Caenorhabditis elegans: one gene and its partners. The protein of the gene in region 1 binds, or shares a complex with, the protein of each later gene. Each region holds a gene or a part of one and is shown in the gene's direction. Other genes may lie near its edges.

Region 1 (6,541 bases):
AAAGTATACTCCAGCAGAATGTAGCGACACTGAAAGAAAATATCGATTTTCCGAGCGAAACTAATTACGAAAATAAACCCTCTTTTCGGTGAAATTTGTTCTGGTTTCTTGCAATATGAATTCATGAATTCAATATACTCATTACCAGAGATTGAATATGATTATTTATAATTTAAACAGAAATAACGAAAAGATTTCGATAATTATCATCAGATTCGTATCGATTCTAGAAGAAAAATTGGGAAAAGTGTTGCATTATTTTTGGCGCGCCGAAGCGAAAACAATAAACTACGGTATTCGATTGTACGTGAACACCGAGCATTACTTTGTACGCAAACATGACACCTGACGACATTTCACAAGGATTCATACTTTTTCGTTTTTTTTTCTCAAAAATGTCTAAATTTTCTGATTTTTATAGCAATCGTCGCTAATCAAATAATTTCAGGGCAATGGACGACGATTTGGACCAATTTTTCCATGATGATGCGGAGCAGAATGTAAGAAATAGCAAAATCTCATGTAAATCTTACCAAAACCTTTTCAGGCTGATTTTTCGGATGATGGCTCAGAAGATGAAGCGCCTGACAATGTCGATGTCAATTATGAGTTGGAGAGGGAAGAACCCAAAAGCAAGTCTGTTGCAGAATTCACTAAATTTTTGCAAGAATGCGAATATCCGGATGACATCATAAAATACTTTAAAACGATAAAGTTTTTCGAAAAAGACGCAAAAACTGGAGATATTGTTTCTACAAAATCACTAAAGTTTACTGTAACCGGTTTCATTCAATACTTGTTTGGCACGAAGCGAATTCAGCGTCCAGTTCTCAGAGGAATCGCTAAAATTTTTGGAAGATATGATATTTTCCACTTAATCTCCCCGGAGCTTGTGAAGTCTATAACGGTGAGTTAAAATATCTGTATTTGTTTATACGAATCACACATTTTCAGCACCTAAAAGAAACTCGCACCACCGCCTGGTTCAACCTGTTCAATTTTCTTTCATTCGTCCCGCACCCAACTGATCGAGTGACGAAACCATTATTTCGCCAGTTTTGTGTCAGAACTCCATTCAACGATAAAAGTATGAAAAAACGAAAGCTGACATGGATCTCAACTGACTATGACAACGTTTGGATGGCTGTTATGAATGGAAAAATTAGTGACAAGTTGACACTGAAACTTATTCCATATATCACTCAGAACGTCATTTCGAAATTGAAAGCACCATTCAAATCTGCTGATTTCTTTTTCAAAATGTTCGACAAAACTGACTATCATGGAATTCTTTCGCTTGGTGCTATTTTTCGTCTTATTTCAGAACATAACTTGTAAGAGATTTTATTTGAAATAGATTCATATAAATCTTTATTTCAGTGAATATCCGAAATTCTACGACAAAGTATATTCATTGACGAACCCATCTCTTCTCTATATGAGTCAGAAAGAATCCATTCTGACACTTCTGGATAGTTTCCTGTCGTCTACGTGAGTTGCAATATTCTAGAAAATTTATTCTGAATCATACCTTTTCAGCCATCTCCCAACATACATCACTGCTTCGTTCCTCAAACGACTCTCCCGATGCCTTCTTCTTGCTCCAATTGATGCTCAGGAACCAATTCTTGGATTAATTAGAAATCTTGTGATTAGACATCCAAACTGTTCTGAATTGGTTCATCGTGAGGTTCCTCAGACTCTTTACGATGATCCTTTCGACAATGATGAGACAGATTTACACAAAACTCGCGCATTGGAATCAAGTCTTTGGGAGATGAAACTTCTTCAATGTCACTGGAATCAAAGTGTCAGAAAACGAGCTCATTTCGTTGATAAATCGATTCAAAAAATTGAGTCTTACGTTCGATTCCGATGCACCGACGAGTTATTCTCTGTAAACATGGCAAAATCATTTGGCGGAGAGGATGGAGAAGCTGAAAAATATCGAAAACTGCAAGACGGGGATGAAGACGAAGAGGGAACAGGAAAGCCGGAACCGAAGAAAGCTCGTAGAAAAGGATTTGGTGGGAAATTCGCTCCAAAACACGAAGAAAAAGTCACAAGAGCAGTCGGTGTGAACTCTGAAGCGCCGAAAGGAATTCTTGATAGACAAGTTCCAATCATCGATGTTCCAACTTTATGGAAAATTTAATCAGATTTTTTGTTACAGTTATTGTTGTTCCACTTTTGTTGTTGTTTTTCCGTTTTCTCGTTTTTATATTTTAAATTTTCAAAATAGTACTGTTGTTTTTCTTTTAAAATAATTATTCCAGTGTTTTATTCACTGAAATCATATTTAAATTAAATATCTTGTTCCAATTTCTTATCCATTTTTCTTTTTTTGATTAAAAATATTTTTACAGTTCACAATGAACCTTAACAGCCCAGCTGTATCAATGCTTGGCGGTGACACCCCTGCACATGGTGGACCGAATTCCGTACTTGGAGGTCAAGGACCCTCATCAATTCTCACGGGACACGGTCCCAACTCTGTAATGGGACCAAACTCGATTCTTGGACCTGGAAGTGTTCTCAATCCACAATCAATTCAACCAATGCAATCACAACAAATGCACAGTAAGTTATTTGTGGAAAACTCATTTCAGGGTTTTTGCTTGAAAAGGATAAAACTAGCCCAAAATTAACTAATTTTTTTTAAAGAGACTGCTCATAAAATTTTCACTATTTTTTATGGCATGACAAAAAGTAAATTAACAAGAAATCAGAATTTTGCTGAATCCCGAGACTTCTATCACAGCAGCTGAATTACAGATTTTTTGAATTATCACCCTTTATAGAATATTTTGTTAGTTTTTCGTTAATTTCGGCAAATTTTTATGTCGTTAGGCGTCTAAAAATGAACATAATTGGCATGTCGATCATAAATGGGACTGAATCGACGATGTGAAGCGAGATAAACAACTAAATTATAAAATTATAAATTGTTCAATAAAATACACTAATTAAAAAAAACTGTATCCTAACTGATGCGACAAGGAAAAGTTAGCGAAATTTCAGATTTAAGCGAAATTAATACGTTTTTTTTTCGAAATTTTAATATTGTACAGTTTAAAAAATTTATGAAAAAATCTGATGAACTCTCTGTGCACGTTTATTTTAGCCGTGACCAGTCTTTCAACTTTATAACCTTTTTTCAGTCTTAAAGCCGTTTGTCAAAATTAAAGATTTATATTATTTCAGGCCTTCAAGGTTCTTCAATGCAAATGCATTCACATCTCGCCAACTCCAATCTCAACTTGAACATAAATCCAGCTTCAGTCGGACCTGATCGTAATCCTGGATCAGTTATGCATCACAATTTGGACATCAATCCTCCATCAGTTGCATATCAGAATTTGACAGTTCCAATGACACCACTTGCATATTCTGTATATGATCGAGATGCTCTGACACATCAGGCTCCGGCAAGTAACATCGCTGCCACAATGGTTCCAGCAACTCCAGCAAGTCAATTGGATATTCCGATGCCAGCTCTTCAGAACATTGTCTCTACAGTCAATTTGGGAGTTCAATTGGATTTGAAGAAGATTGCATTGCACGCGAGAAACGCCGAATACAATCCAAAACGTTTCGCAGCAGTCATTATGAGAATTCGTGAACCAAGAACAACTGCTTTAATTTTTTCGAGTGGAAAAATGGTGTGCACTGGTGCGAAGTCAGAAGAAGCAAGTCGATTGGCAGCACGAAAATATGCGAGAATTGTTCAAAAGTTGGGATTTCAGGCGAAATTTACCGAATTTATGGTAAGTGTTTCTGGAAAAAGGTCACAAAATCATTTGAATAATTTTTTTGTAGGTTCAAAACATGGTTGGTTCTTGTGATGTTCGTTTTCCGATTCAACTTGAAGGATTGTGCATTACTCACTCTCAGTTCAGTACTTACGAACCAGAATTGTTCCCTGGATTAATTTATCGTATGGTCAAACCAAGAGTTGTGCTCCTTATTTTTGTGTCTGGAAAAGTGAGTTTAAGTTATGAAATAACCTTTTCTATGTTAAATTTTCAGGTTGTTATCACTGGAGCAAAAACAAAGAGGGACATTGACGAAGCATTCGGGCAGATTTATCCAATCTTGAAGGGATTCAAAAAATAACTTTCTTTTATTAAAATTGTTTTCATTCTTCTTTATTTTCAAATTTTTGTTTCATTTTAAGCCTTCCCTTATCCCTAAACCCGGATCTCGTATAATACAGGTAAAGTAGCTTCATTTTAGACATCTATGCACTTTAGAACCACTTTCTTCAGTCTACCAATCCGATAAAATCGTTTCGAATTCAATAAGCTTTCGATTAATTACTGCTCACCATTTCTCCCCGTACCTTGTATAATTTTGTTGATGTTATTTTTTTTTGAAGAAGTGACATTATCAATGTTCTTTTCAACTTTCCTCTTGTTTTTCAAATTTCTCCCGTATTATTGAGAATAAAGTATTAAAATAGTTGTTGTTCAATCTACGAAATTGAATTTCTGATAATTTCTGTAATATATTTATTCATATTTCAAATTTATAACATTTCAGATTGAAATTTATCGTTTTAGATGATTCCAGCTGATATTATTGCATCAATTGCTGGATTAGTAAATGAAAAAGATATTGAAAAGGTATTTCATTGGTTTCTACATTTTCAGATATAAAAGAATATTTCTTAACCCGACAAAACTCGGATTTCGATCTCACTGTCAATTCTGTTTTTAAAAAAGTAATTAAGTTTCGAATTTAGTAGAATTTCTCCAAAATTTTTTTGCCAAAAGACTAGGAAAATTTAAAAAAAACAAACAAACTGAAATTTTAAAGGTTTAGTGAAAAAACTCCGAAAGAGAAATTGAAATTAGTGAAAACACAAGAAAACCAGAAAGAAAGTCGATTTTAATTTATTTTGAATCCGTAACAACTCAAAAACTTGAGCAAAAGTTTCGAGACCCGAAGAACTCGAGGGATGTCCAACTGGGGGGATTACCAACTCGGGGGATTGGCCCCGCCCACAGAACCGTGGCTTGCAATACGCCCATTTTTGCAACTGCCGCACGGTTTTAAAATTATTTTTCTTGTTAATTCTCGCTCTATTGAGAAAAATACAGTTTTAAAACCGTGCGGCAGTTGCAGAAATGGGCGTATTGCAAGCCACGGTTCTGTGGGCGGGGCCAATCCCCCGAGTTGCTAATCCCCCCAATTGGACATCCCCCGAGTTCTTCGGGTCTCAAAGTTTCAAATTAAAAAAAACAACACTAGAACCATAAACATCACATGTTGCTAAAGAATATCCGCGAAAAATGTAGAATAGTTTTTTTTGGATTTTTTTCCAAAAACTAATTTTTCGTCAAAATACAAAAAAAAAACACATGGTTATAAGATCGCTCACTTTTGCGCAAACAGTTTTTTGAAAATATAAAGATTCATAGTATCCGAATGAATTCAATTTTTTCAGATCACTTCTGAGTATCAGGACAACATTTGGGAATTCGTGGAATCACTTGTGACTCATGTTCTTGCCAGTAATCATGTTGGATATTCTGGTAAGAATGAATATTTTAACACCCTAAAAATATTAAAACGAGATAGAAGTTTGGAAAAAAAATTCAATTACAAAACTTATTTTTTTTAATTCAAAAATCGTACAGTAGAAATAATAGTATAAGGTTCGATGTGCTCTGTGAGCCAGAAGCTGCAAAAAAGAAGTGCAACAGGCTGGCTTCTCTGTGCTCTCCAGGCGCCGGTCGGTGTATGGGCTCGGCGCTCGGCGCCCGGAGCCTCTGTCTCTGTTGTGTTACTTCGTGTGTGCATGTGCTCTGGAGAATAAGGAAAACGAAGAGAAAAAAGCAAAGACGAAACGAAAAAAAAACGGGGGAAAAAGCAAGCACATGCATGCGAAAAGTGTGTTGAAACTGGAGAACTTCTCGTGCTATGTGGAGCCAACGACAGCGAAACGAGTCGGCGGCGATGGTTGGGTGGATGAGGGCTTCGTCTAGTGGGAATCGACGGTTTGGTTCGATTCTCTACCCCTTCCACGACGCATTGATTTTAGGTTAGGCGGTTTTGCAATAATGAGATAGGATTCCTCTAGGGATGAGGATCAAAATAAATCTATTTTTGAATTTTTCACAAAAAATCAACTAAAAGTCGTAACTGTAGCAAATCGTCAAAAATTGTAGGCATCCTGAAGAAACCTGGCACCAAAAAATCAGAAGGACTGAAAAAAACCACTCATTATTTTTGAATTTGGATTTTCTCAAGTTTCAAAAGAACAGAAAATTTTCAAGCTATTTTCAGATTATAACACATCCTCGTTCATATCAGAAGAACTCGCTCGCCAAAAATTATCATGTGGTCTGAATATACCAAATGCTGTGTCAAAGTCCTTATGGGCACTACACTTGGCACATGAACACGTGGAAAAATTGAAAGATCTTTCTGATATACCTCCAATTGGATATCGTGTTATACTTGAGTTCTACCTAGTTTGGCAACAGCTTCTCATTGATCCAGAGGAAACTATTCGCACTGAAATTGAACCAATTGT
Region 2 (5,544 bases), on another chromosome or scaffold:
CCTAAGCCTAAGCCTAATCCTAAGCCTAGGCCTAAACTTTGGGGGATAAGCATAAGCCTAAGCAGAAGCCTAAGCCTAAGTTTAGATCTGAGTCTAAATCTAAGCCTAAGCCTGAGCCTAAGCCTAAGCCCGAGCCTAATCCTAAGCCTAAGTCTAAAATTTTGTGCAAAACTTTTCGCTCGCGTCGAAACCTGAGAACCATATCAGTTTGAAGAAAATAAAACAATAGCGGCCCAAAAATCAACACCAGATACAGTAATGCATAGTCTGCGTGGCGAGACCCAAGGGAGTAAGATATGGGGGAAAGTCTCATGTTAAGACGTCTATGTAATAATAATAATATCGGGAACTGGGTGTACTTAGCCAAAGTTGGCTCTCTAAAATGAAATCAAAGCTCTAAACGCCAAACAATGTCCCAATTCAAAACTCCACTTTTCAGATGTCACATCAGCCCAATCACGCATCGATCGCAGCGCCGCATGGTTTAAGCCGTTGCCCAACGTCCGTTCACCACAATATTCCAGGTCTCGGATCGGTGGATCTCGTCTTCTTCCACGTCGCATGTACCGTAGTCTTCCTCAAAATGACTATCAGGGAATGTGGGATAAACTAGTGCGTTTATAGAATGTGAAAGACTGGAACAATGTGATTTGTTTACAGATCGATACGGATGCACAGATGGATGCTGAAAATTAGAAATTCCTGCAGAAAGACTTGACCCGGTTTATCCCAATGATTAATTCCCACACGTCCATCTCGACTCAGATACTCTTGCAGATATGATAATCTCATCCTTCATGATACTAATTTTCCAGTTTTAATTTTGAATAAAGTGATTTTGTGTTAGACATCAGAGTTCCTTTTTTTCCCTAATTGCACGTTGTGACAGATTGTCTCATTTCTGTTTGATCTATGTAGATCTACAAAAAATGCGGGAGTCAAGACACGGAGATCTCAACTGATTTCGCACGATTAAGAACGTGCTGTCGTCAAATTTTTTTTTGGGAGAAATGTTCCCGCATTTTTTGTAGATCAAAGTATAATGGGACAGCCTGACACCAATTTGCAGAGCTGAGGCATGACGCAAGTATACTTATAGTCCTGCTAGATCGCAGAATCATGAAAATGACAGCTTTTGCACCAATTCTCGAAATATAATTATAGTTGCAAGAGAATTGTTTGACGTCACTGCACTTTTATTTTGAATTTTTTTTTCGAAAATTGATAATTTGCATTGAAAGCAGGGATGGGCGGCAAAAGATTTTTCCGGCAAATCGGCAAATTGCCGGATTCGAAAATGTCCGGCAAATCGGCAAATTGCCGTATTTGAAAATGCCCGGCAAATCGGCAAATTGTCTTATTTGAAAATGACCGGCAAATCGGCAAATGCCCGGAATCGAAAATGTCCGGCAAATCGGCAAATTCCCGGATTTGAAAATGTCCCGCAAATCGGCAAATTGCCGGATTCAAAAATGTCCGGCAAATCGGCAAATTGCCGATTTTCCGAATTTGCTGAAAAACGGCAATTGCCGAAAATTTTCGGCAAATTGTGGTTTTTCTTGAAAATTCGGCAAATCTGCAAAAATTTCCGGTTTGCCGATTTAAAAATAGATCCCTCTCAACACTTCCGCCAAATGGGTATCCGGCAAACGGCAAATGGTCGCTTTGCCAAAAAATGAAAATTTCCGGCAAATCGGCAAGCTGGCAAATTGCCGGAACCAAACATTTCCGGCAAATCGGCAAACCGACAATTTGCCGCCCACCCCTGATTGAAAGTACACTAAAAATCAAAATTCTAATCAATTAAAAATCTAAAATTTTCTAGTTAATAATTTTTTGATTCTTTCCAAATGAACCGAGATATACGCTGCCAGAGTGGTATAGACCTAAAGTTTTGGGTCGCTGAAAATCACAAGAGATAACGCGCTCCACGGCCAATTTAAAACGCCCCGCCCCTGAACCATGGGTCTCGTTAGGTATTTAGCGGTTTTTTCAAACTTTTTCAACTATTTTCGGGATTTTGGCAATTTTGAAGCATTTTTCGTTGTTTTTAAAGAATTTTCTGCCAAAACATTAACGATGTTTGAAAATTCACGTGAAATTGACCATTTGCTTTTTTTAAAATCAATTTTTACATTATAATTCATTGAAAATAACGGCAAATGCTTGAAAATTAGCGAAATTTACGCAACTAATCAAAAAAATTTGAATTTACGGTTTTGCCGCCGAATACCTAACGAGACCCGCGGGTTCGGGGGCGGAGCGTTTTTGGACAGTTTCTCTCTGCCCCTATAATACAGACTTTTTTTCTAAAATTTCCCTGAAATATTAATTTGGGAGCGTATTACAGCTACTTTACGAATTTGATGAAATATTCATGTTCTGATTTTTGAACCGCTAAAGTTGTCTAGAAACATTTGAATTAACGATGATTACCGGGAATTAAATAGTAAAAACTTTTTAAACTTTAATTTTTAAAACTAAATTAATTGAAGAATTAATTTTAATCAAAATTTTCAACGTGCGTTCGCCCAATTCTGTTTGATTTAGCCCTCTTATTACCAGAAAAGGGCCACGAAAGCGTTCACCAAAATTGTGTGCGCACGCATTACGAAAACGCGCGCCGCACATTGCAAGTGGGCGGAGCGCCGCACCACGAGACTTTTTTAAAGTTTAAACCCTCGTGCCGCTGCCATTGGTTTTTGGGGGAACTTTTTGAGCTTTTAAATACGAATTTTTATTGTAAAGATATGTTTAAACAAATTAGTAATAACTTTTCAACGAAATACTCGCTTTAAATTATCTTTCAACCTAAAAAAAATTCAAAAATTTCCCGAATTTCAGCAAAAATGAATGATCCAGAGCAATATGAGCCTTCTTCGTCGACAGAAAGCGTCCTGATGCCTCCACCCGCACTTCCACAGGTTTTTTATCGATTTAATTGATTAAAATTAACCGATTTAAAGTATTTTCAGCGGCCAGCAGCAGCTCCACAAGTTTACTCCACTCTTGAGCCATCTGTTCAAAATTTAAGGTTTGTTTTTGTTCAGGGTTAATGACATTATGACAAGACAAAAATTATTAACAAATAATTTCAGATCGTCGTTGCACAAGCCTCTCACCGGAAATCAGCAACAATTTGTGCAGAAAACGCTGGAAAATGTTCAGAAAAATCCATCGCAAGACGACACACACGAGTTCATCAATCAGCTCGCCGACTATCCGCCGACGATTCCCGATTCTGTAACATTGCACTTCTTGAAGTCTGCCGGTGTTGATGGATCGGATCCGCGAGTGACTAGAATGATCTCGCTGGCGGCTCAAAAACATGTTTCGGATATTATTCTTGACGCGATGACAAGTGTATGGTTTAGAATTTGCAAAAGAAAATCCAAGTTTTTTTACAAGAACAATTTCAGGCTCGTATGAAAGGTCTCGGACAGACGAAAAAAGGAACGAAAGACACAAAATACACGCTCACAGAGGAACTTCTCGATGAAATTCTCAAAGAATACGGACACCAGAACACTCGTCCACCATATCACACCTAATTTATAATATACCAACATGATACTCCTCAATGGGTTTTATAATGCTTTACATTTATTTTCCTGTTTTATGAATTTATGCCGTTTTCCTATATACCAATTATCCAAGTGGCTCTTTTTTGCCATTTTATGCTTCTCCTTTGTTTTAATTTTCAGTTCTATTTAACCCATTTTTCTCTAGAACACCCCCAACAATGCCAATGCCATTCACACGCGACGATGACTATGACAGTGATCCAGAAGTTCAGGCGGAGAAGGAAATGGCCAAGAAAGATCCAATCGGCTTTGCGATCGACTCGAGCTCGCTGACTTCGATGAAGAAGGCGGCGGCTGCGGCCGCGAAGGATCAGGTCTCCACAACTCCACCAAATCTAGTCATCGGAAGCAATGGAGGCGCCGGCACGATCGCAACCGTCCCCCGTTCCAAGTGTGGGTGCTGGAGCTCAAGCTCAAATGAAAGAAATTCGTGATGAAAAGTTCAAAATTTCGGCCAATTTTGACAACTTTTCCGAGTTGCAAAGCTCGGAAATTGACTTTGTTCGATTTATCATCCTTGTTTGCACATTCTGATAGTTTATCTCACATTATTTCGTTGATTAATGTGCATTTAAATTTAAAAATGACCAAAATGAGCTTCTATCGGCTTAAAAAATACTTTAATTAACGCAATACTCTGGGATAAACGACCAAAATATGCGATAAAGAATGATAATTTTAAAAAAAAGTCAGCTCGCTTTTTCGTTCGAAAAAAAAAGCGTGCGGTGGCTTGCGAAAAGCCGCGCGATAGGGAAAATGTCCTCCAAAACACTAACAGTTTTTTTTATCAAAAATCTCAAATTTTCAGCGCAAGACGAGATTGTAAAGAAGCAAAAGACTGCCGGCCAAAGCAAGGCTCTCAAGAAGCAACGCTCTCGCGGAATCTCGGGATGCTCTTCTCGCAAATACTCGGGATACGACGATGAAATGGATGAGGATTTCGGCGACGATGAAGACTACGACCACTACGGAGGCCAAGAGGTTTTCGACGAGGACGAAGAGGACACTTTTGTTGCGAAAAAGTGAATTCCCATGATGATGTCCCAGTGTCGCCGTTTCAATTGTTTAAATAATTTAATTTTAAAAAATTTTACCGTTAAACTCCTTGTTATAACTTTTTTGTGAAGTAGTATATGTGTACATTCACTCGCTGTAAATTTAATTTGCCTAGTTTCTTTTTCGTTTGTTTTTTTTCTGTTAATTTTTCACGTTTAATTTTCCACACACACACGGCTTTTTAGTTCGGATATTATTTCAATCCCCTGTTCCACACTTTTCCCCAGCGGTTCCATGTTTCTACCCCGATACTCTTTTTCAATTTTGCCCTAACTCCTTCCTTCACACACCAACTTATTCTCATTCTGTACATAAATTGATCGGCGCAAAACTTTTTTTCTGAGGCCTGAAAGTTAGAAAACTATCATTTGATTATCTAAAAATTATCTTAAAAAATCCAATAATTAAAAGCAAAAATGTTTAAGTCCCAGAGATATGATTCCCTACCGCCAACTAGTCAGAATGTCCCATCTGGCCGCCCGTTTCGTCGGCGGAGCAGATGTTCATGTTGTAGATCCACTAGTCGACTTGAGGAATGTCTTCGAGCAAACTGATCAGCTGAAAATTGCGTTGGAATGCAGAAATCTCACAGTAGACGTGGAAAAAGTGAAAAACGAATATGACGAATGGTTTGAAACCTATCAGAAATGGAAGCAAGCCGATAAAGAATCGATTTCCCAGCTGAAAAAAGAACTTCGAGCGAAAAAAGACGGTCTGCTAAATGCTCTCGCCCTTCCGAATCTTGTGCATCACGCCGGGAAGAAGCAAACTCCGCTATTAAAACCTTCAAGTAATTTATTGCGAATTTTGCAAAAAAAGGAGCGCATCGCACAGAAAAAGAGGCGGAGCGTAATTTTGCGACCCCGCGGCACGGTTTTCCACTATTTTTTTTGTTTTTTTTTTC
Region 3 (7,080 bases), on another chromosome or scaffold:
TTTTGCTTTTTTCAGAAGAAAATTGCTTAAAAATTGGATAAAACTGTTATTTTTAATCAATTTTCATCATTTTTTAGTGAAAACCTCTAAAAACGAAGAATATTGCTATTTTCTGTGGAAAAAACCCAAAAAATACGGAGAATTTTGCTTTTTTCAGAAGAAAATTGCTTAAAAATTGGATAAAACTGTTATTTTTAATCAATTTTCATCATTTTTTAGTGAAAACCTCTAAAAACGAAGAATATTGCTATTTTCTGTGGAAAAAACCCAAAAAATACGGAGAATTTTGCTTTTTTCAGAAGAAAATTGCTTAAAAATTGGATAAAACTGTTATTTTTAATCAATTTTCATCATTTTTTAGTGAAAACCTCTAAAAACGAAGAATATTGCTATTTTCTGTGGAAAAAACCCAAAAAATACGGAGAATTTTGCTTTTTTCAGAAGAAAATTGCTTAAAAATTGGATAAAACTGTTATTTTTATTCAATTTTCAACAATTTTCCGCTAAAATCACTCGCCCCTTTTACCACGCAAAACATGGTGATTGGCGGAACCCGCGAAGCCGTCCGCCGCTCAAATTGCGTATAAAAGGACGAATTTTCTATGGGTTTTCGCATATTTTTCATGATTTTTCCTAGTTTTTCGGTGGAAAATAGCTATTTTTAGGCGGAAAATTCCAATTTTTATTCAAATTTAGTCAATTGTAACCCATTTTTATTCCAGATTCGGCAAAAACGAGCGTTCGGCGTTGGCAGAATTCGAATATCTTCAGGATATGTCTACAGACGTCTCGGGGCTCCAATCAAGCCCTGAACTCGGACAATTGATGGGACAACTGCAGCAACAGAGGATGTAGAGCTGATTTTCAGTGGAAAATTCTAATTTTCTGTGAAAAAAATCGAGTTTTTTGGGTAAAAATTCATAGAAATCTGAATTTTTCCCCCAAAAATTGAATTTTTAGTCAATTTTTACCATGTTTAACCCTAATAAATCCCCATTTCCCCCCCCCCCCCCCCCCCCCCCCCCCCCATTTTCGTGTCAATTTTCGGGTAAAATTCCCATTTTTCGCTTGTATTTTTGCCCATTTTTCATTGTTTTTTCTCTCGAATTTTCTCAGATAATCAATCAATTTAATTGAATCTTTTTTTTTGTTGAAAAAATTGAATCATTTTCCATAATTTTGTCATTTTTTTCCCATAATTTGAAATGAATTTCTCACTTTCCTATTTTCGCTATTCTTTTCCGGTTTTTTCGGGGGGAAATCCTCGAAAAAGTGTAATTTTGCACTTGAATATTTTTTTTTTTAATAGTTTTTCTATTTTTTAGCTGAAAATTCAATTTTTAAACGTTTTTTCACATAAACCAACGTTTAACAGAAATTTTGTTTTAAAAATCGGTAAAAACCGAATAAAAAGTGAAAATTCGAAGAAAAATTTAGAAAAAAACAATTTTTATTCAAAAACTCTAATTTTGCTGTAAAAATTTGGAAAAAACTTATTTTCATCACATTTTTAGTCGCTAAATTCAATTTTCAGTCGAAAAATTGAATTTTCAAGCGAAATTTTGAATTTTCAGTCAGAAATTCTGCTAAAAATTGCAAATTTCATGAATTTTTCTTCAAAAATTTCATTTTTTAATGCCAAAATCCAATAAATTCCACAAAATCATAATTAAAATTCGAGTTTCAATTCCAAAAATTCTGAATTTTCCACAAAAAAAAGATTTTTTCCGCACTTGGTTGCTCACACTACAAACTACACAATTTTCTAGCCTCACTCAACTTTTGGTGAGGCTTAAAAAGTTGTAGTTTGTAGTGTCGGCCTCAACCAAATGCATTTTTCGAGCAATTTTAAGCCGAAAAGTCAGAAAAAACTCAACTTTTTGCCGAAAAACTTTGAAAAAATTAGATTTTCATAACATTTTTAGTCGAAAAATGAATTTTCCCGGTGAAAAATTAAATTTTTCAGCGAAATGATTGTAAATTTCATTTTTTTTCTTGAAAAGTCTAATTTTTATGCGAAAATCAATCAAATTTGAAGAAATAATAATTAAAATTCGAGTTTCATTCAAAAAACTGAGAACTTTCCCCAAAAAATTAGTTTTTCCGGAGTTGGTTGAGGCTCACACTACAAAAACTACAACATTTTCTAGCCTCGCCCAACCTTTGGTGAGGCTGAAAAAGTTGTAGTTTTTGTAGTGTGAGCCTCAACCAAATCCATTTTTCACTCAAAATCGAGCAATTTTGAGCAGAAAATCCATTTTTTCCGTGAAAAAATTTAAAAATTCGTGAATCATCAGGTTTTTAGAATTATTTTTAAAGTTATTATCGTAATTTTTTCCAATTTTCTACAAGTTTTTAGTCTCACCAAAAGTTGGTTGAGGCTAGAAAATGTTGTAGTTTGTAGTCTGTGCATTTTTTGGTGTTTTCTTCTTAATTTGCACAATTTTGATTCATTGTTTATTCGGAAAAATGGAAATTTTATCGATTTTCAAATTCAAATTAAATAAAAATTCAATTTTGAGACTAAATTAATGGTTTTTTTTTCGAATTTTTCAAAATTTCCGTTTTCTTTTTTTTCTCTGAAAATTTTCTAAAGAATATCAATAGACAGAACTCATGAATTTTCAAAATTCAAAATCTCTAAAACTCAAAATCGAGCAACTTTGAGCAGAAAATTCAGAAAATATTCAATTTTTTCGTGAAAATTTCTTGAAAAATTCGTGAATCTCCAGGTTTTTAAAATATTTTTCAAAATTTTTTATTGTAATTTTTTCCAGTAATGAACAATACACATCATCACACAAATGGGTATCGAACGGAAAAGCCAAAAAATGAAGAAGATCTAGAGGATCCTTACGCTAATCTCTCGGATTTCTACAAAAATCATCCGGCAGCACGGAATGAAGGTAGCGAAAATCGAAAAAAAAAACTTTGGAATTTCACTAATTTTTCATTTTTTTCATTTTTTCAGCATGTTCGTCAGCTTCTAATGGCGGCTCTAAAAGTGTGAAAATGGAGCCAAAAGTGGAAAAAAATGAAGAATTTGAAGAATATATTGGTGATCCTGTACGATTAGAAGATATGGAACCATTTGCAAGACCATCACTTCGAGATGATGCACCACTTTCATCTATTTTACATCCGGATCTTGATGGAATTGATCCGAGGTACTGAAAACCACAAATTTCTGTTGAAATTGACGTTTTTTACCGGAAATTTCCACGAAAAACTCAAAAATTCTATCAAAAATCACTGAAAATTGGGAAATTTGACAAAAAATTTCATTTCCTGCCGAATCCTGTAATGTGTAGTATGAGATGTGTGTGGTATAAAAATTGACAAATTTTAATTTAATAACATTAAAAAAAATTTCATTTTTCTCTAAAAACTTTATTTTTTTTTCCATTTTTACAAACTTTTTTATAAAATCACCCGAAAATTCGAATTTTCTTCGGAAAATCTATTTTAAAAACTCTGAAAATTGCTCGAAAATGACATTTTTTGAATAAAGTATTCCAAAAATGCTCAAAACGTGCTGTTTCTTCCAAAATTCCATAATTTTCTTTTAAAATTCCGCAAAATTTGCTTGCCCTTGAAATTGAAAACTGAAATTTTTTGAATTTCCCGCCAAAAGTCGATTTGGAAAGAGTTTTTGCTGGAAAAATCAAAAATTTCGACAAAAAATCGTAAAATGGGATTTTTTTTTCAAAATTTTTCGAAAAAAAATCGAGTAAAAGTGACGATTTTTTTTTCAATTTTTGTTGAATAAATCGAATATTCAGTAAAATTTTCATTTTTTTTTCTCGAAAAATTGATAGAAATTCTAATTTCGTTGGAAAAAACAAATTTTCACTTTTTTTAAGCATGAAAAGCGCCATTATTTCAAAAAATTGGCAAACATTTGCCGAAATTCGAATTTCGCGCAAAAATCGAATAAAAGTGACGATTTTTGTTGGAAAAATCGAATTTTCACTGAAATGTTGGGTTTTGTTTTATTCGAAAATTGAAAATTGAAATTCGAATTTTGCTCCAAAAGTCAGTTTTCCAATGAAGTTTCATAAAAACACACAAATACACAATTTTTAAGTCAAAAAACCCGAAAATTGGCAATTTCTGCAAAAATTCCTTTAAAAAACTCAAAAATTCACTCAAAAATCGTTGAAACCCGTGTCACTTTTCCCCGAAAAAACCCACAATTTTTCCACACAAACCCATGGTTTTCCTAGCCATCAGAAATCTCATGTAAAACTCGAAAATTTGCTTTAAAATTGTTAAACCTTTTTTTCGAGCCAAAAAAGCCAAAAAAAGCCTGAAAATTGGCCAATTTCTGCAAAAATTCCAAAAAAAATGGTTGAAACCCGTCATTTTTCCCCTGAAAACTGGTTTTTCTCGCCGAAAAACTCGAAATTTTGATGTAAAATTGCTAAAAACTGCTAATTTCTTCTAGAATTCCATAATTCTCTGTTAAAATTTCCAAAAAAATTCCGAAAATTCGCCAAAAATTCACGCAAATCACTGAAAACCCCCATTTTTCCGCAAAATCCTTTAATTTTATTTTCAGAATCTTCTTCAAAGACTTCAATCCAAACAAAACTCTTCGTTTCTCTCGACTTTTTGCTCAAAATATCAAACATACGTCCCGTGCCGAGATCTGGTGGGCTTCCCGAACCTTCTCCAAACATCAACGCAAAAAAGAGCCCGAAGAGCCCCTCGCTGATGACGTCATCGTTGGAGCCAAAAAGCTGAAGCTTAACATCATTGAGAAGGTGCCACGTGTCATGTTGGCTGACGATGAAGAAGAACGAATGCGGAGACCGATACTGACGGATGCAGAGGAAATGGCAAAGAAAAATGAAGAGGGTACGGTAGTTCAGCCGTGGAGAACGGGTCCCGCCAAGATTTGGTATGATATGATGAATTTGCCGATGACTAGTCAAGCTGTTAATTATGGATTCAAACTGAAGGTAAAAATAATGAAAATTTGCAGAAAATCGGCTGAAAATTGCTCAAAAAAATGGAATTTCCTTTGAAAAACTGACTTAAAAATGGCTGAAATTGGCTAAAAATGATCAAAATTAAAGTTTCCTGGTAAAAAATACACTGAAAATGGCTGAAAAATGGCTGAAATTCGCCAAAAATTGAAGTTTTCAATAAAAAAAACCCTAAAAATCGCACTAAAAATCTGAAAAAATTACCAAAAAAGCGCAAATTTGACACAGTTTGCTCAAAAAAATTTGGTTGAAGCTAGAAAATTTCGTAGTTTGTAGTATGAGCCTCAACCAAAATTGAGAATTTTAAATTGGTTGAGGCTAAAAAGTTGTAGTTTGTAGTATGAGCCTCAACCAAAATTGAGAATTTTAAATTGGTTGAGGCTAAAAAGTTGTAGTTTGTAGTGTGAGCCTCAACCAAAATTGAGAACTTTAAATTGGTTGAGGCTAGAAAATGTTGTAGTTTGTAGTGTGAGCCTCACCCAAAATTGGTTGAGGCTAGAAAATGTTGTAGTTTGTAGTGTGAGCCTCACCTTAAATTGGTTGAGGCTAAAAAAGTTGTAGTTTGTAGTGTGAGCCTCAACCAAAATTGGTTGAGGCTAGAAAATGTTGTAGTTTGTAGTGTGAGCCTCACTCAACAATATATTTTTAGTTGAAAAACGTGATTTTCAGTCAATTTTTGATAATTTTTAACTAAAAATTCCTGAAAAATATAATTTCCAGCTCAATTCCGACAATTTTCCGGTTATTTTCACGGCTTAAACAGCATTTCATGAGTTTTCAGACAATTTTCGGTCATCTTAGACAATTTCATCTCATTTTGTCAATTTTATAATCAAATTTTATCGTTTTCCACTAATTTCTATAGTTTTTTTTTGTAGAAAAATCGGAAAAAATTGCTGAATTCCTCAAAATTTCAAAAACTTCCTCTCGAAACTTTAATTTTCAATTAATTTTTTAACAATTTCAGAAATCTCCTCAAAAAGTATCAATTCGAAGTGGAAAACCGCTCAATTACCGTACCCCGGATGATCTACCATCCACGTCATCAGGCCCCGCCCCAAACTCCGCCCCTTTCTTGGATAAAGTGGAAGTAATTGATAAAAGTTGTGAAGCTTCAACATCAGAAGATATTCTATTACCATATCAAGTAATTGAATGGGAAAATGATGTGATATTAGATGGAGAAGAAGTTAAAGATCAACTTTTGGAAGAATTTTCGAATGGAAGAGGTTGTGGATGGATTCCCACACAGTATACGAGAACTTATGAGCATTTTGTATATGCTGGTATGGATGAAAATGTGAAAAAAAGTGCAAAATTCGTGAAAACGGCAAAATTTTGACCTAAGAATGTTAAAATTTGGATAAAATTACGAATTTTGGCCCAAAATCGCCAAATTTTGATGAAAATTTCAATTTTAGCATAGAAAATTGTGGAAAATAGTAATTTTGACTTGAAATTGGCAAATATTTGTCAAAATTGCCAAAACTTATGAAAAATGACCAATTTTGACCGAAAAATTGCTGAAATTCGTGAGAATTCATCAATTTTCTATTAAAATTGCCACAGTTCAAAAAAATATGCCAAAAATCTTTTAAAATGATCCATTTTGACTAAAAAATGCCGAAATTTTTGTAAAAATGTCAATTTTTGCAAAAAAATTGCCAAAACGCGTTGAAAATTCTCCAATTTGTAAAAAAAGAACAATTTCGACCCGAAATTATCAAAATTTGTACGAAATTCTCAATTTTCACCAAAACAAAAAAAATTAAAAAATTCGTACTTGAAAGTTTCAAAAATCGCAAATTCTGGGCTTCAAATTGGACAATTTCAGGAAATCTGAACCTAAAATTCAAGAAATGTACGTAATTTGTACTGAATAAATTCACAAATTTCAGACTTTAAAGGTGGTGCTGTCGAATTTTTTAAAAATTTCTTTATTAGACTCAGAATTGTCTGAAAACATCGAATTTCATAATGAAACTTTTTGAAAACTTTCCAAAAAAAGTTATGGCGGCTCGAAAAATGGTCTAAAATTAGTGAAAACTTGAAATTTGACCAACTTATCATTGTCGCAGCGGCTGGAAAC
Region 4 (10,025 bases), on another chromosome or scaffold:
TCCACTCCAGGATCAGGAATAATCTGGACTGGTGCTGCACTTGGAATTGGAGATAATCCTAGTCCTGGTGCTTCACTCAATCCTATTCCAAGATCCGTCTTCAGTTGAGTGGTCCATGCTTGATTTGGTTCTGGGGTGCTTTGTACATTTTCATCGTGATGAGTCGACACATTAGGCGTCTGCTCCTCAGCCAAAACTGATGATTCACTGAAAATTAAATTTTTAATAATCTAAATACAGGGACAGAACAACTTACTTTTGGAAGAAACCATCTTCTTTCTCCGGCTGATGCGAAGTTTCTGGCTCGAAAAATACTGGCGCTGCTGCTGGCTCTTCTTTAACTGGTGCAACTGACGGAAGTGGAGGTTGTGGGGAGAGACTCCTCCTTGGCGGAGCTGCTGGTTGAGGATTCTGTGCCTGGTGCTTTCGGAGTGCTTCTTTGCGATGGGCAGCTGCTGCTACTGCAGCAAATGAGATCGGTGCCGGCGCAGAAGATGTGGGAACAGTGGCGGTGACGGATTCCTCTACTGGTGGTTGAACTTCGGTGACTGTGGTATCCACTTTAGTCTGATTCTGAAAAAAAAACACGTTTCGTCATTTTCCTTCTTCAAAAAATTCTTACCTCATCAAGATCAGCAGTGAACGCATCTGGCTCAAGTGCTGATGATGGAGCAACAGCTCGAGAATATCCACCTCTGGCGCCACCTCTTCCACCTCGTCCAACATACGGTTTTTCAAATCCTCCTCGAGTCGAGCGTGGTGCTGCTCCTTCCTTATTATCACGGTTATCCCGATTATTATCTCGGCTTTCTCTTGGAGCTCCATTGGATCGCCCGCGGCCTCCTCGATCGACGAAACCGGTGCCTCCACCTGAAAAAAACATATCAATATTTGATCTATTTCAATCAAGCACGAACCTCTGCCTCTTGCTACAAATCCTCTGTTGTTATAACTGCCCTCTTCCGGCTTCTTCTTTTCCTTTTTGGCTCCTTTCTGTTCAGTCCACGAGTCAAGTTTATCTCCAGCATCCAGAATGTGATCGATTGCGCCGTAAAGATTGTTGTCAGTATCCAATAGCGCTATCTCAGCTTGTGCTTGTGTACATCCGGTGGTTTCGATAATCTGAAAATGAAAAAGACATGAGCAGTGAAAAAACCCCTCTTGGGAATGCGCGAACACTTTAATTAGCCCAAATGAGTAGGACATCTGGGTACTCTTACTCTCGCTGCACCATCTCAAGCGCGGACACCTGCTTTTGTCCTTTTATTTGCCATCTGGCCCCGTCTTATCGATTCGAAATTCCTATTGACACTGAAAGCGGACACTAGAGAAGTTCAAAACAACAAAGTCACGTGCGTCATCATGTCGGTGTGTGGCGAGCGTTCGCGTGATGCAAAGATCACTATTTTCAGGAAAGCGTCATTTCCAGCTTGGAGACTTACCGTCTTGATCATAAACTGTATGTCCTCCTCATTTCCGGAATTTCCTTCCAGTGTGAGTCGTGCAAGTCGCGCTTGATCGCTGGTAGCTTTTTTGTCGCCTTTAATACCCATTCTGAAAACAAATTATAAATAAAAAGGGTCAGTCATGTGAACGCAAGAATGGAATGAGAATCACGAGAATACAACTATCAAAGGAAGGTTGAATGAAAGGAAGGTCAAATAGATGACAAAAGTAGGAAAAGAACGAAATATGGAACCTTCCAGATCAAAAAAACATTATCAAAAGAAAAGCCTCGCACAGAAGACTCTAACGAACATGTTAGGATGAAGAAATATTTCAGCAATACATCACGTTGAACTTTGGAGGATATTCTAGAGAAGAAAACCCCTACATTTTACAATAATTTTGAAATGGAATTCGAATGAACTGCTATACAATGGAGAATCCTATTTAGCGATGATAAAGTGTAGGCTTGTTACTAGATTGAATAAAAATTTCGAAATGTAACAATACATTGACTGAAAATTTGGGTATTTCAGAGTGTGATATCACAAAAATCAATATTTCCACTAAACTCAAAAGTTCTTACGCTGAAAAATCATTAAAAAATTGAAAAATCACCGCAAGCTAGACTAGAATCGCGTTCAAATCTCGCAAATTCCCGCAGTTGAAAATGCGGGCGACCGCGACGCGAGCCGCAACGCACCCCTCCAAACATGCGGCATGGGTCTCGCCACGACCGAAAGTACGGTCACTCTTGGCAGTATAAAAGGCGACCATTTTCCGCTATTTTCCGGTAAATTTTCAAATGAAACTGTGTTGCGGAGGGGGTTTTCCGCTAATTTTGCGGAAATTTAGCTATTTAATGTGAAAATGTGAATAAAACAAAAGAAAGTGGGGAGGAATAGCAAGGAAACACACTGTTGAACCCTGGGAATTATCGATTTTGTATGAACTCTTCTTTTATGGCGTCGAAATTATCGACACGAAAACTCAAAACCTTGTCACATTTCTGAGAGAGAAATATCATTTTCAGCACACATGAGTCTTCCCAGATTTCGACTCGTTCAGGGAAAGGCGATCGGCGAGCGATCAACGCCAGGAGTCAGCACACCAGAGCCGGTAATTGTTTTTTTTTATTTCAAAATTTCTACAACAACAAAAAGAACTAACAATAATTTATTCCTTTGATTCCAGGCCCCTCCGCAAATAAAGCAGGAAGTCGACTACCAAGATGCTCATCAAATGGCTCCGGAACCCGTGGAAGCACCCCGTAAATATTTAAAAATTTAAAAAAGTTAGAAAAAAAATTTGAATCCCAATTTTCAGAGGCTCAAAACCATCAAATGCAGCCGCCTCGTCAACCTATACAACAGCAGATGCAGCATTTTCAGTCACCATCGCCAATGGCTCCACAAGGGCCGCCCGGGACTCCACAAAACTCTGCAGCGGCGGCCGCCGCTGCTTCAGATGACAAAAACGTGACAAAATGCGTCCGCTTTCTGAAAACTTTAATTAATCTGTCGAATAACGATGATCCAGAAATGCCGGACAAGGCCGCCCGTGTCAAAGAGCTAATTCGAGTGAGGAATTGAGCGAAAAACGCGATAAAAACCGGACAAATTCGGATATTTCAGGGCGTAATTTATCTGGAAACGACGGCTGAAGAGTTTACACGAAATCTGCAACAAGTGCTCAAATCTCAGGCTCAACCGCATCTTTTACCATTCCTTCAGAATACTCTTCCGGCATTGAGGAATGCTGTTCGAAATGGTTCGGTTTTATGTGCAAAAAAATTAAAATCGACAAAAAAAAAATCATCGAAAAACAGGAAAATTTGAGTTGAAAAGCAGCGAAAAACTTGAATTTAACATAAAAAATTGCAAAAAATCCGTTGAATTACATTTTTCAAGAAATTGTGTAGAAATTCCATGAAAAAAATTCAAAATTTCCAAATTTTTTGGCTATTTCTAGTCAATTTCTTTAAAATTCCATTTTTGATAGCGAAAATTATCAAGTTTCTAACAATTTCAAGCTGTTTTTGGTGATTTTTTCAATTTTTCGGCTTTGAAATTCCATTTTCCGGAGTATATTGTCATAATATATCCGAGTTCCACAAAATTGAGCAAAAAAAATTAAAAATTTCCCTTTATTTAAAAATATTTTCAGCTGTCAGTAATATATGGATTTTCCGCAATTTTTCTCACAATTTTGAGCAAATTCCTGATTTTCAGCCAATTTATAAGGATTTTCACCCATTTTCATAATTTAGGGCTATTTTCAGCTGAAAAATTGTAATTTAAAGTTTTTAAAATTTTTATAGATTTTCTCAAATTTCAGCTCAAAAATTCGATTTTCAAGCGCATTTCCAGGCAATTTATTAAGATTTTCACCAATTTTTTTAGCTTAAAATTTAAAATTTCCACATTTTTTGTCTATTTCCAGTAAATTTCTTTAAAATTCTATTTTTGAAAGCAAAAATTATCAAGTTTATCGCACTTTTTCAATTTTTCCGGAGTATATTTTGGTAATTTATCCGAGTTCCACGAAATTGAGCAAAACAATTATTTAAAAACTTCCCTTTATTTAGAGCTATTTCCGCAAATTTTCTCGCAATTTTCACGCAATTTTCATAATTCAGGGCTATTTTCAGCTGAAAAATTGCAATTTAAAGTTTTTAAAATGTTTATAGATTTTCTCAACATTCAGCTCAAAAATTCGATTTTGAGGCGCATTTCCAGGCAATTTATGAGGATTTTTACCTATTTTCTAGATTAAAAATCTTTTTTTTTCCTCAATTTTGGACTATTTTCCCTAATTTTCAAATTTCCAGGCACTGCATCAGTTGAAGGCGTAAATCCACCGCCTGGCTACGTTTTCAACAATGGAAGAACCCCAGGACCCCCTCAGCCACCTCCACCTCAACAACAATCCCAGCAGCAGCCACCACTAGAAATGCGTCAAATTCCGAATCCGAATCAAATACCCCCACAAATGGTTCAAGGGGGTCCCCATATGGTATCTGTAGGCGCCCGGCCAATGATCAGGCCTATGGGCCCCGGCGGCCCAAGCCCAATGGGCCTACAAGGCCCCGTACGAGGGCCGATGGGACATCAGATGGTCCAGATGCATCCTCCTCCCCCACCACAGCAGATTCAACAGCAGCACCCGGCTCCCCCTGTAGAAATGGAGGTGGAAGAGAATTTACAGCCTACCGCGGCGGCCACGGCCACGAGGCAATATCCTGAAGGATCGCTGAAATCGTCGATTCTGAAGCCGGATGAGGTGCTGAATAGGATCACGAAACGAATGATGTCATCGTGTTCGGTGGAAGAGGAGGCGCTTGTCGCGATTTCAGATGCTGTTGAGTCGCATTTAAGGGAACTTATTACACTGATGGCCGGAGTTGCAGAACATCGGGTGGAGAGTTTGAGGTATTGAGGAGAATTGATTTTGCTTCAAAATACGGCAGCGAAAAAAAAATTAAGCAAAAATAAGGAAATTATTGAAGAAAAATCGTCTTAAAAACAATTTTACATTAAAAAAAAAGATTTTTAAATTTCAAAGGTTCCGAACTATTTATTAAAAAAACATCTAGATTTTGTTTTAAAATCCAAACAAAAAACATTGCTGAAACGCGGTAATTTTTTTTCAAAAAAATATAAAAATCTGAGAAATATTTTCAAAAATATCTCCAATTTTCCCCTGATTCCGAATATCTATTCGAAAAAATTCAAAAAAAAAATTTCCCTTTATATTTCAGCTTGAAATCGCTTTGTGCATGCACACCATGAGATTTTTCAAATGCGCGCCCAGATAAATTCTCATTGGGGCGCACTTGCTTCGTGTCGATTTACGGGAGCTCTTCATTTTTAAATTTCTTTTAAGCTTTTTTTTTCAGTTTTTCAACGAGTTTCCTTGATCTTCGTCGATTTTTTGTCATTTTTTTTCCTGAAATTTTGTTTTGTGTCAATTTGAAAATTTTTTAGGTCAAAACTCCTGTGTTCGTCGAGATCTGACGTAAAAATATAAAATTCCGGGAGTTTTGAGATATAAAAAAAATATTTTAAAAATTTCAGAAAAAAAACTGACAAAAAAGCGACAAAATAAAAGAAACGCGCAAAAAAAAAAAAAAAAAACTTAAAAAAGCACGAATAAATTTTTTTAAAAAATGGAGAGCTGCCGTAAATCGACACGAAGCAAGCATAAAAAAATGGCTTTTTTCCTAACAATTTTTTGTGAAAAATCCGAATTTTCCATCCTAAACACTACAAAAGATTCCAGAATTCCGGAGAACTACGTGGCAATTGATGACGTCAAACGGCAACTTCGATTCCTTGAAGATTTGGATCGTCAAGAGGAAGAATTAAGGGAAAGTCGAGAAAAAGAGTCGCTAATTCGAATGAGCAAGAATAAGAATAGTGGAAAAGAGACGATTGAAAAAGCGAAAGAAATGCAACGACAAGATGCTGAAGCGAAAAGGAATCGAGATGCGAATGCGGCTGCAATTGCAGCACTTTCCAGTAATAAAACTGTCAAGAATAAGTTCGTTTTTAGCGTGAAATTTGCAGAAAAATTATTTTTAAAAAATAGATTTAAAAAAAACAATTTCCTGACCAAGGGTGTCATTTTTCGATTTTTCGGTTTTCAAAAATTCGAAAAATGAAAGTTTCGTTTTTCGATTAAAAAACTGAAAAACCGACACCTTTGTTTCTGAGATTTGGATTTAGAAATAAGCAAAAAAAAATTATTCAGAAAAAATTGTTTTACAATGCTGCAAAATCGATGAAAAAATAAAATAAATCAATAACTAATTTCTAAAAAATGGAAAAAAATTTCGTTTTTTTCGAATTTGTATTTCACAAAAAAAAATTTTTAGAATAAAAATTTTCAATTAAAAAATTACTATTTAAAATCACTGAAAAAAAATGAAAAAAATAGAAAATTCAGAAAAATAGCGAAAAAAAAGTTTTTTTCCAGAAATTTCGTTAAAACGATCAAGATTTTAACCCTAAAATTTAGATAAAATCAATTTCTTGTGGTTCTTAATTTAAAAAAAAAAACAGTACTTTCCAGTAATAAAACTTTCAAGAATAAATTCGTTTTTAGTGCGAAATTCGCAAAAAAAATTACGAAAAAGTGAAAATAGAAGCTGAAAGGAAAAATGTTTAAAAAATAAGAATATTTTCGACATTAATTGGTTTTTATATATATTTTTTTGTAGAAGTTTAAAAAAATTACTAAAATCACTGAAAAAATTGAAAAAAATTTTAAAATCTGGAAAAAAAGCAACAAAAAATTAATTTTTCCAGAAATTTCGTTGAACTATTCGGTATTTTAAGCCTAAAATCAAGATACAATCAATTTGAACAAAATTTGCTTTAAAAATACTAAAAATTCGAAAGAAATAGAAAAAAAAAGAAATTTTCGAAATTTGGATTTATTGTTAGAGAAAAGCTGAACACTTACAAAAAATTAATTTTTTACGTTTTGAGAAAAATTTTTGAAAAAAAAAATCGATTTTTAAATAATTTTTAGAATTTTTTAGAACTATAATTTTTGAATTTCAGTGACTTATAATCACAGAAAAAAATGAACGAAAAACAAATGAACATCTTTTCGGCAAAAAAACGTATTTTAAAAAAAAATTTAAATTTCTAGTGACTTTGAAAAAAAAACCACATTTTCCAATAATTTCCAGGAATAAACTAAATTTCTTTGGAGAAATTTGAAATTTATTTCACATTTCGAAAAAATTTATATAGAAATAAAAATTTATATGAAAATAAAAAATTTGCAGCTCCTTCCAGTAATGAAACTGTCATTTGTTGAAAATTAGTTTTTTTTTAATTTAGAAATTCTCTTTTCGAAAAAAAAGGTTTTTTTAAAACTTGATTAAAAATTAATTCATTTTTTTCCAAAATTAGGGAAAAAATAATTTCTAAAAAATTAGACAAATACACTTTTTTGTTGAAAAAAACAACATTTTCCAATAATTTTCTTTTTTTTTAAATTGCTTCCACTAAATTCACTTTTTGAAGAAATTTTTTGAAATTTTTACTGAAAATTGTTGGAAAATTATTAAATGTGCATTTTTTTGCAATTTCCAGTTGATAAACTAATTTCGGTTCAATTTAAAATAAATTTCGAAAACCAATTTCAAAAAATTCATTTTTTACAATTTGTTTTTGTTGATAAAACGAGCTAGTTTCTACCAAAATACCGCTTTTTTACATTGAAAATTTAAATTTCAGATGGGAAAACACGGGCGCCGCAACGACAGCACCTCGTCCACGAACAGTACGTGTAACAACTCGTGATCTACATCTTTTAGTCAATCAGGATAGCCGATTCACAGGGTAGCGATTTTTTTTGTTTAAAAAATTTTTTTAAAAAACACCGTATTAAACATTGATTTTTATTGGAAAAAACTGATTTAAAAATTTTTCAAAAAACTTTCAAACGAATGGTAGTTTTTAATATTTTAATTTTAAAAAATTCCAATAAAAATCAATTTTTATACGATTTAAAAAAATTTTGAAAAGTTATCCAATTTTCTCCTAAAAAAACTCATTTTTTTTCCAGAACATTCATCCGTGAAAAGATGTCATACGGTGGTCCGGCAGTCGATACAACTATCTGAACTAAAGAAATCTCATGGAAAAAGGAGCGAAAATTCTGCTTTTCTCGTTTTCTTTTTTTAAATTTAATTTTATTTTTCCACAAATTAAAACAATCACTTTTTTCCAGTCAAATAATAATTATTTCTCATTTTTAAACGAAATGCTAGACATAAAAAAAAGCTTCTTTTTCAGCTTTTCAGCCAAAAATTTCAGATTTTTCAGAAAAAATTCAACAACAAAAAATTGGCAAAGTGCAAAAAAACCAGAATTAGATATTAAAAATACAGGAAAAATCGAGAAAAATGAGTTACAATTCAGAAAATTAGGCAATTTTTTTTTCAAAATTTCTCAAAAACACTGAAATTTCGGTATTTTTTTCTCTACTTGAGCACAACCTCGTGTTGCACCAATCGAACATAGTCTTTGAGCGTCGGTGGAAGTGGAAGCTCATCGATTATTCGCTGATAGACACCGTCGGCACCGGCGATTTCCAGATTTCTACGTTGGCGAAGGTGGATGGCGCGCTGGAAAAATTTCTAATTTCGAGCTGAAAACTCTTTTATGAAAGCAAAATTTCATAGTTTCAATTCAAAGTTCGAATTCCTCGCAAAATTTCAGTCGGAAAACCGAAAACTAGAAGTTTCTTGCTCGAATTTGAAATTTCGAGGGGTACGGTATCCTCGAAAGTACGCAAACACCGAATTTTGTTTTTTTGAAGTTTTGGCGCCAAAAATACAATACCCGGGGTCTCGACACGACAAATTTTTAAAATTTTTTTGAGTACTGTAATTTCAAACAAAAAGTTTTTTTTCGAATAAACTCGAATAATACGATAAAAAACATATTTTAATAAAAACCGTGGCAACGAAAGTTTGAAAGTACAGTACTCTCTTCAAAGGCGCACACCTTTTACGCATTTAACTTTCGTGGCGAGACCCCGGGGATACCGTAATTTTTGACTCAAAATTTAAACAATAAATCCGTTAAAATATTAAAAAATTTTTAGATATTTTTCAAAAAGACTGTCGAAAAATTGTTTTTTTATAATTTTTAGAATATTAACAAACAGTTTAAAAATTCCAACAAATTTTGTTTTTCATACCGAAAAGAAGAAAAATGGACAAAATAGTAAGCTATTTTTGTGTGTCAAAGTGTCTTATTTCGGCTTGATCTACGTAGATCTACAAAAAATGCGGGAGAAGAGACTCAGAGTTCTCAACTGATTTCGCATGGTTAAGAACGTGCTGACGTCACATTATTTTAAGGCGAAAAAATCCCGCCTTTTTTTGTAGACCAAACCGTAATGGGACAGCTTGGCACCACGTGACACCCCCCGATTCTCACCTGTTCGTGATTTTGGCGAACTGCCATTTCTTTCAAATAATCGTCTAGCGGGGGACTCGATGCTGAAAAAAAAGTTTGATTCGTTAGAGGAGCACAAAATTCTGAAAATGCGTATTGCACAACATATTTGACGCGCAAAATATCTCGCAGCGAAAACTACAGTAATTCTTTTTAAATGACTACTGTAGCGCTTGTGTCGATTTACGGGCATCGATAGAATATTTTTAAAAAAGAAGAAAAAAGAGGGAATAATACGAAGAAAAAAAGGAAAAAAATAAATTCATTTCAGAAATCGAGTTCGTAAATCGACACAAGCGCTACTGTAGTCATTTAAAGAGATACTGTAGTTTTCGCTACGAGATATTTTGCGCGTCAAATATGTTGTGCAATACGCATTTTAAGAATTTCCAGTTTTTTCAAACCTTTAAACTTACATTTTCGCGGTTTTTTGGCGCTCTCGGATTTCGGGGAACGTATACGTCGGCGACGTGACGTGGTTGAAGCAGGGTCCGTCGAACAACATGGCTCTTCGTCTTCCGATACTTGGGATTCTGTTGATGTTGACGGTGATTCCTGAGGTTCCTCTAGAGCATCTGAAAGCTCTTGCTCATCTTC

The links.
Region 2: tbp-1 (region 1) and taf-10 share a complex: the UniProt entries of both Caenorhabditis elegans proteins name them as parts of the TFIID basal transcription factor complex.
Region 3: tbp-1 (region 1) and taf-1 share a complex: the UniProt entries of both Caenorhabditis elegans proteins name them as parts of the TFIID basal transcription factor complex.
Region 4: tbp-1 (region 1) and taf-4 share a complex: the UniProt entries of both Caenorhabditis elegans proteins name them as parts of the TFIID basal transcription factor complex.

The regions. Positions count from the first base shown.
Region 1 is NC_003281.10:7,381,667-7,388,207, forward strand, and holds tbp-1 (TATA-box-binding protein), read left to right. Parts: upstream 1-2,366; 5' UTR 2,367-2,372; coding exon 2,373-2,580; intron 2,581-3,204; coding exon 3,205-3,767; intron 3,768-3,819; coding exon 3,820-3,984; intron 3,985-4,029; coding exon 4,030-4,116; 3' UTR 4,117-4,458; downstream 4,459-6,541. Other genes in the region: T20B12.3 (nucleolar complex associated 4), read left to right, coding at 453-500, 548-907, 955-1,334, 1,381-1,491, 1,540-2,155; Tetratricopeptide repeat-containing protein trd-1, read left to right, coding at 4,563-4,625, 5,450-5,537, 6,292-6,539. UniProt on the Caenorhabditis elegans protein: The TFIID basal transcription factor complex plays a major role in the initiation of RNA polymerase II (Pol II)-dependent transcription.
Region 2 is NC_003283.11:4,684,265-4,689,808, forward strand, and holds taf-10 (Transcription initiation factor TFIID subunit 10), read left to right. Parts: upstream 1-2,838; 5' UTR 2,839-2,849; coding exon 2,850-2,924; intron 2,925-2,966; coding exon 2,967-3,034; intron 3,035-3,098; coding exon 3,099-3,363; intron 3,364-3,419; coding exon 3,420-3,551; 3' UTR 3,552-3,635; downstream 3,636-5,544. Other genes in the region: nssp-51 (Neuropeptide-Like Protein), read left to right, coding at 440-612, 661-696; K03B4.2 (HUN domain-containing protein), read left to right, coding at 3,743-3,977, 4,393-4,610; K03B4.1 (Seryl-tRNA synthetase), read left to right, coding at 5,076-5,430. UniProt on the Caenorhabditis elegans protein: The TFIID basal transcription factor complex plays a major role in the initiation of RNA polymerase II (Pol II)-dependent transcription.
Region 3 is NC_003279.8:13,858,697-13,865,776, forward strand, and holds the start of taf-1 (Transcription initiation factor TFIID subunit 1), read left to right. Parts: upstream 1-2,777; 5' UTR 2,778-2,779; coding exon 2,780-2,906; intron 2,907-2,971; coding exon 2,972-3,167; intron 3,168-4,561; coding exon 4,562-4,964; intron 4,965-5,958; coding exon 5,959-6,277; intron 6,278-7,080. Other genes in the region: W04A8.6 (ANK_REP_REGION domain-containing protein), read left to right, coding at 723-855. UniProt on the Caenorhabditis elegans protein: The TFIID basal transcription factor complex plays a major role in the initiation of RNA polymerase II (Pol II)-dependent transcription.
Region 4 is NC_003279.8:380,349-390,373, forward strand, and holds taf-4 (Transcription initiation factor TFIID subunit 4), read left to right. Parts: upstream 1-2,477; 5' UTR 2,478-2,484; coding exon 2,485-2,565; intron 2,566-2,640; coding exon 2,641-2,716; intron 2,717-2,772; coding exon 2,773-3,026; intron 3,027-3,080; coding exon 3,081-3,216; intron 3,217-4,276; coding exon 4,277-4,877; intron 4,878-5,727; coding exon 5,728-5,988; intron 5,989-7,697; coding exon 7,698-7,802; intron 7,803-8,028; coding exon 8,029-8,086; 3' UTR 8,087-8,216; downstream 8,217-10,025. Other genes in the region: Prion-like (glutamine/asparagine-rich) domain bearing protein pqn-59, read right to left, coding at 1-207, 257-573, 623-870, 918-1,122, 1,443-1,553; R119.5 (Protein-L-isoaspartate O-methyltransferase domain-containing protein 1), read right to left, coding at 8,447-8,590, 9,411-9,472, 9,845-10,025. UniProt on the Caenorhabditis elegans protein: The TFIID basal transcription factor complex plays a major role in the initiation of RNA polymerase II (Pol II)-dependent transcription.